Sus scrofa: one gene and its partner. The protein of the gene in region 1 purifies or fractionates together with the protein of each later gene. This does not show direct contact. Links are inferred from orthologs where the notes say so. Each region holds a gene or a part of one and is shown on either strand. Other genes may lie near its edges.

Region 1 (3,750 bases):
AGCAAGCCAGGGAGATGAGAGCTTGGGTTGCCTTTCACAACTCTGCCCAGGCAACTTGAAAGAGCAGGACTGACAGGTTCCTGAAGAGAAAAATCAGACCTAATCTTAAAAGTATTTTTGTTGACTCTGGTATTGACTTAAGAAGAGATTTAAAAATTAAAAAGATGATACCAACTGTTCCAAATTTCATTACCATTCATTCAATTCTTATTTCCTACTAGAAAGATTCTGATGGAAAAAAGAAGGGATATGGTCGAATTTAATGATGTTGATATAAAGAAATTATTTTTAAAATATATATTCAATTATACTAATAAGGAGGTCAAAAACCACAGATTCCTGGAAACTCCCTCCTCCCAAAATGCCTATTTGCTCTGTTTAAAAACTATGCAGGAATTCCTGTCATGGCGCATCGGAACGAATCCGACTAGGAACCACGAGGTTGTGAGTTCGATCCCTGGCCTCGCTCAGTGGGTTAAGGATCCGGTGTTGCCATGACCTGTGGTATAGGTCATAGACATGGCTTGGATCTGGTGTGGCTGTGGCTCTGGCATGGGCCAAAAGTTACGGCTCTAATTAGACCCCTAGCCTGGGAACCTCCATATGCCGCAGGTGTGGCCCTCAAAAGACAAAAGACCAAAAAAAAAAAACCAAAAAACAAAAAACTATGGCACATTTTCTAAGTTTCTCCATGGATGCTTAATTGAACTGGAGCACAAACCAAGATACTGTAAAAATGTAGTGCCCTTAGTATAAGCACCAATGGGAAACCTACTTGAAGTTTAACATTTGCCATAAATAACCCAGTAAGTAGTGTGTGTGTATATATTGGGGCAGGGAGGGGGTAAGGTAGAGAGGGCAAAACTGAGGAGTAACTACAGTTACTCAATAAATACGCATTCAATAAATACGCTGAATAAATAAATGATGAAACTGAAGTTCAGAAAAGTTAAAGGATTTCCTCAAGGTCAAAGAGCAGGCAGCAAGCACAGCTTATACTGTAACCCCTTCTGCTTGCTCTTTCCACAACCACTTGCACTACACCAAAGCAGCCTGTTACAGCACATGATTCTATTTAACATGATTGTTTCTTCTTTCCTCTTAAGTGCCAAAGAAAATACATGGTACCAAAAAAAGTGACACAGTGGGTAGCACTTTAACTTCAAGTGTTTCACCAACCAAAACTATACTCAGATTTCACAAGCATACAGGATTAGCCAGAAAGACAGAAAGGCAGAGCCACTCGTAGTTCTTTAAATTCCTTGTGAAATTAGTGTATGCCTTGGAAGTTTTAAAAACAGCCACTGAAACCTACTTACCAGTTCAGAATGGCCTGCAAAGTATCAGCCTCACTTTCATTCTTCCAAGATCCCACAATAGCTCCTCCCTGGATATACTTTATCTTGTAGATTATGCAAGGAAATGTAACCAACTTTGAAGCTCCTTTTAGTTCCTTTTAAAGTACAAGTCAGTCTCACAAAACCCTGAACATAAAATTAACCCTTGGGAAGTTTTAGATTCTGAGAACAAGAAACCATCTCTGAACCATTATCTGACTGTGATTATCTATCTAGATTCTTCATTCAAAATCCACGAGTCTGAAATATCTAAAAGAAACGCGGGATGGGATGAGGAAGAAGTAAAAGAAGAAACATTTACATATATAAAAAGGGAGCAGATATTCCTAGTAACACTTTGACCCAACGGCAGCTTCTTGCCTTAAAGTCAAGGCCTCACGGATACAACTTCTGTTGTCTTCTCTGATCGCCTTCCTCACAGAGAGGCGCCAACTGTCAATACCTTTTCCAGGCATCTTCTCTAGACCTAGGAGGGCCACTCACTAGGATAGGGGATGATTTGCTCATCTCTCAAAACTACTGTCAGCCCAATTAGTAAACTGAAAGGGAAGACCTAAAATGTGGAATGGCGAGAGAGTTCAAACAAGCCTGAGAGTTAAGAGTGGGAAGGAGCAGACGAAAAGGTGCGGGGAGGGTAAACAACGCATGGGGGGGGGAGCTGGGAGTGGGAACCCGGGTCGAGGAAGTGGGGTCACCTAAAGGCAAAGGTGAAGGGAGGAAGGGGATGAGGTTCTGGGTGGGATGGGCTGGAGCAAAGGGGGAGGGGACGAGCGAGCGGAGCGGGGGAGGGGGAAGGGTCCGGGGCGGGGCGGAAGAGAGCGGAGAGGCGGGATGAAGACGGCCAGGCCGGGAGGGTCTTTACCTGCAGCTCCGCCCGCTCTACTTCCCACTGGGCTCTCTCCACTTCGAAGCGGGCCCACTCGTGCTGAAGGAAGTGCAGGATTCCCGGGAGGCTGTACTGGGCTCGCGCCGCCCCCGCCGCAGCCGCCCCGTCGCCGGCCGCGGCAGCCTCCGCCAGAGGCCCGAGACCCTTGGCACCGCTGGCGCCCGGGTGGTTGTTGCTGAAGAAGACGCCGGGACCCGCCTGCTCGTCCATGGCGGCCGCAGGAACCCGGGGAGCTGCCCAGGCGCCCAGCAGCTGAGGCAACGGCGGCGGCCAGCAGCGTCTCCTCCTCCCTCCGCCGCTCCCCGCCCACACCCCAGTCAGCAGGGAGCAGCCGCCTGGGCGCGGGGGCCGGCCGAGCTCGGGACGGGCCGGGAAATGGGTCAACTGCGGTGCGCGGGCGGCGCGGGGCTTGCTGGGAAATGTAGTCGCGGGGCGTGGTGCCGGCGAGCACCGCCCGGGCTGCCTGAGGGGTTGCGACCGGCTGCGGCTCCACCGCGGCCCCGCCCCCGGGCCCGCCCCAGCCCATGGCGGAGAAGGGGCGGCCCCCGGCGGGGAGCGCGGGTTTCCTCTTGGTTAAGCAGGGGCTGGCTGGCGGTCCTCCAGCCTCCCTAGCACGCGGAAGTTCTTGGGCGGCGCTCACTGTGGCGCGCATACACACACACACACAAGGCGCTCACTGTTGCAGACACACACACACACACACACACACACACGGAAGTTACCGCGCCGAAATGCCAGCCTAAGCTGCACATCTCCTACGGCTTCCTGGTAGTTCTGTTAAGAAACAAGCTCAAAGCAAGCTTCGCCGGTCCGACCCCATGGCCCGGGATTCTCTAGCCAGCACGCTCGGACCTCTCCCTTCTGCTCTGTCTAGAGTGATTCTCTGACCCAAGACACTCCACTTCTGTCCATCTCCTTATCGCGGTCGTTCCTGCCTTTTTTCTCGCTAGAGGTTCAGTCAAACCTGTTGCCTGATCACTTTTCATTTAGAAGGAACTAATCATCTCTCTGTCCTGAACGCAACACAGCAGCTTTCTGTTTCTTGCAATTTTTGGTTTGGTGACACCACATCTAAAACAGGGCTCTGCTTCACCTCCTTTATAGCTTGCAGTAAATCCTGTAAACGTTACAAATATCCAAGGCTCTTTTATTTCGAACTCATTTTTCCTTATCCCTGAGCAGTCGGTACACATTTCAACAAATATTTGACTGTAAGTTATCTCATTGGGGATATAAAGATAAATGACACAGTTCCTGTCTTCAAAGGCAGACTGGCAACTATACAATCAATTCTCGCAATGCCCTAAAGTTACACTATTTAAAAGAACAAAATCCCTTTCTACTCCCTAGAGCTATCTTAGGTATCCGGGCACCTCTCCTTTTTCACTTGTCCGGTTCCCAGTTTCTTCCACGTTTCACTTGCAATCTGGCAATAGTATTAATCTACCAAAGGCCCATCAAAGTCCTTTCAAGTGTTTCTCTCTAAATGTTATCCTTCTCCCAAGT
Region 2 (3,650 bases), about 86 Mb from region 1:
GCCAGGGATCGAACCTGTGTCCTCATGGATGCTAGTCAGATTGGTTTCTGCTGAATCAAGATGGGACCTCCAAAGATGAATATTTAACTTAGTATTTCTTCTTGAAATGAAGTTCATGGTGTGGTGTATTTATAGTCAGAATGATTCTGGGGAAAGTCAGCTGCATCAGCCATTTGGCATTTGTTGAACGTTTGTGCAAAGCATATGAGAGACTTGGAATTTTTAAATTTATTTTAAAGGCCTACTTTGAAGACTTTTTTTTTTTTTTTTTTTTTTTTTTTTTGGTCTTTTTGTCTTTTCTAGGGCCTCACCTGTGGCGTATGGAGGTTCCCAGGCTAGGGATCCCATCAGAGCTATAGCTGCCGGCCTACGCCAGAGCCACAGCAATGCCAGATCTGAGCTGCGTCTTCAACCTGCACCACAGCTCACAGCAGTGCCGGATCCTTAACCCACTGAGTGAGGCCAGGGATCAAACCTGCAACCTTGTGGTTCCTAGTCAGATTCATTAATCACTGAGCCATGATGGGAACCCTGAAGACTTTAAGGGAGGTGATCACAGTTTAGGAGCCTACCAATTATGACAATTTCTCTGTAGAATTTTCTGTCCAAGACAGGGTTTTTACTTTCATTTGAATGGGTTATTTTTGTTGTGTCTTCTGGAATATTGCTTTTCACAGTGAACCTCCCTGGGTATTACCCAAAAGTCCTATTCAGAGAGCTTAAGAGATAAAGCTTATTGTGTAAAAATTTTCCAATACAGTCTCAGTTCACTGTTTTAATTTTGCTAATGTATGTTTCCCCCATGTGGAAATTAGTAAGAATATAATTTGTATGTGTTTGAACAGCTTGATCAGGGGTCTTGTTTTGGACCATGGGGCACGGCATCCGGACATGAAAAAGAGAGTAGAAGATGCATACATCCTCACGTGCAATGTGTCATTGGAATATGAAAAAACGTGAGTTTATAGCTCCTTAAAGATGAAAGGAGGGTGGAGGAGCTTGGTATATGGGGCAAGTCACTTTTTTTGGGAGACTCGGTTTCCCCACTGTAGGACAGTAATGCCTCAGTCAAAAAAGTATGGGAAATAGCCTCTGAAAACATACGGGGGGTGGGGGGGTGTGGAGCTCAGTGACTATTTGCTAAAGCTCAGGACTGACTCAGTTTCTAAGGCTGCTGGCTTATTGTCTACTCAAAAAATAAATACTTTCCTCTGATTTTTGTAATTTCTTTTTTTAGAGAAGTGAATTCTGGCTTTTTTTATAAGAGTGCAGAAGAGAGAGAGAAACTAGTAAGAGCTGAAAGAAAATTCATTGAAGATAGAGTTAAGAAAATAGTAGAGTTGAAGAAGAAAGTATGTGGTGATTCAGATAAAGGATTTGTTGTTATTAATCAAAAGGTGAGAAATTTTGCTTTATAAATTAGTCTGCTTTTATTTTAAGGTGAATTATATTGAAGCTTACTTTTATTCTTATAGGGAATTGACCCCTTTTCCTTAGATGCTCTTGCAAAAGAAGGCATAGTAGCTCTACGTAGAGCTAAGAGGAGAAACATGGAAAGGTACGGACAGCAGGTTATCTGTGACCTGAATTTCACTTATTTTGCAAGTTAACTTGGATTATTGCTTTCCCCCCTTCATATTTTTGTGGGGTTTTTTGTTTGGTTTGGTTTGGTTTTTGTTTTGACACTCCTGTAGCATGTGGAAGTTCCCAGATGAGGGATCAAACCTGAGCCACTCCAGTGACGACACAGGATCCTTAGCCCACTGTGCCACAGGAGAACTCCTGTTCTTGTGGTTTTCTGATTTTTTTTTTTATTGCAATGAAATGTACGTAATATAAAATATGTCATTTTACCTGTGGGGTTTTTTGTGTTGTTGTTGTTTTTTGCTTTTTAGTGCCACACCTGTGGCATATAGAAGTTCCCAGGCCTAGGGGTCGAATCGGAGCTACAGCTGCCGGCCTACACCACAGCCACAGCCATGCCAGATCTGAGCCGCGTCTTCGACCTACACCACAGTTTATGGCAATGCCAGATCCTTAACCCGCTGATCAGGGCCAGGGTTCAAACCCGCAACTTCATGATCCCTACTCAGATTCGTTTCCGCTGTGTCATGACAGGAACTCCTTACCTGTGTTTTAAAATGTGCAATTCTTTGTCATTAAATTACATTCAGGAGTTACCTGGTGTTGCAGCAGGTTAAGAATCCAGCGTTGGTGTTCCTGTTGTGGCTTAGCAGTAGTCAACCCAACTAGTATCCATGAGGATGCACATTCGATCTCAGGCCCTGCTCAGTGGGTTAAGGATCTGGTGTTGCTGTGAGCTGTGATGTAGGTTACAGATGGAGCTTGGATCCAGTGTGGCTGTGGCACAGGCTGGCAGGTGGAGCTGCAGCTCTGATTCAACCCCCAGCCTGGGAACTTCCATATGCCTGAGCCACAGTTGTGGCCCTGAAAAGCAGAAGCACATTCACAGTGTTGTACAACCATTGTTCATTTCAAGAACTTTTTCCCTTGTAAGCTGAAAGTCTGTACTCAATAACTGCATACCCTCTCTAGTAAATACTATTCCATTTTCTGTCTCTCTAAATTTGGTACATGGTGTAAGGGAATCATGAGGTATTTATCCTTTTGCGTGGCTTATTTCACCTGGCATAATCTTTTCAAAATTTATGTTGTAGCCTGTATCGGGATCTCTTTATTTTGTTTATTCATTTATCTGTCAATGGACATTTATTTTGTCCTTCTACCTTTTGGCTGTTGTGAGTAGTGCTGCTATGAGTGTTGATATATACTTGTGGTTTTTTTGTTTCATTTTTTGTTTGTTTTGTTTTTTAGGGCTGCACCCTCAGCATGTGGAAGTTCCCAGGCTAGGGGTCGAATCAGAGCTACAGCTTCCAGCCTGCACCACAGCTCACAGCAACACCAGATCCCCGACCCACTAAGCAAGGCCTGGGATTGAACCCACATCCTCTTGGATACTAGTCAGATATGTTTCTGCTGAGCCATGATGGGAACTCTTCTACTCATTTTTAAATCATGACCTGTACTGTACGTAATTTCACATGTCCAGAGACAGCATCAAGGATTTTTGGAGAAGTACTTTCTCCCAAAGAGCTTACCATGGTGGATAGCTCTTGTGAACCTTTGAATTCAAAGCAGTATTTGCTCCTCTGAATTGACTTGGGTAACATGGTTAAATGGAGAGTTAGGAGAAAAGACCAGTTTTTAACTGGTTCCTGGTGAATGGAAAAGCATAAGCTAAAATATATTTTAAAATATGCTTATAGGACTTCCTATTGTGGCTCAGAGGTTTAAGAAAACCTGACTAGTGTCCATGAGGGTGTGGGTTAGATCCTTGGCCTTGCTCAGTGGCTTAAGGATCCTGTGTTGCCGCAAGCTGCAGCATGGGTCGAAAATGCGGATTGGATCCTGTGTTGCTGTGGCTGTGGTGTAGGCCTGGGAACTTCTGTATGCCACAGGTGGCCCTAAAAAAAAAAAAAAAAAAAATACGCTTTTAGTATATAATTTCGAAGAAGATTGCTTTTTAAAAGTTACTAATCTTTTTAAGTGTAACTAACAATGTCACCTCTGCATCTCCCTTAAACACTTGAATATTCCAGGCTGACTCTTGCTTGTGGTGGGGTAGCCCT

The links. Proteins that work in one complex are often made in the same cells at the same time.
Region 2: the proteins of STRN (region 1) and CCT6A purify together in Homo sapiens (affinity purification with mass spectrometry; 3 studies listed by BioGRID and IntAct, with this or other methods). This does not show direct contact. The link is inferred for Sus scrofa from reciprocal best matches to the Homo sapiens genes STRN and CCT6A.

Annotation. Positions count from the first base shown.
Region 1 is NC_010445.4:103,248,674-103,252,423, reverse strand, and holds the start of STRN (striatin), read right to left. Parts: upstream 2,599-3,750; 5' UTR 2,455-2,598; coding exon 2,221-2,454; intron 1-2,220. UniProt on the Homo sapiens protein: Calmodulin-binding scaffolding protein which is the center of the striatin-interacting phosphatase and kinase (STRIPAK) complexes.
Region 2 is NC_010445.4:16,848,767-16,852,416, reverse strand, and holds part of CCT6A (T-complex protein 1 subunit zeta), read left to right. Parts: intron 1-845; coding exon 846-956; intron 957-1,237; coding exon 1,238-1,397; intron 1,398-1,475; coding exon 1,476-1,558; intron 1,559-3,620; coding exon 3,621-3,650. UniProt on the Homo sapiens protein: Component of the chaperonin-containing T-complex (TRiC), a molecular chaperone complex that assists the folding of actin, tubulin and other proteins upon ATP hydrolysis.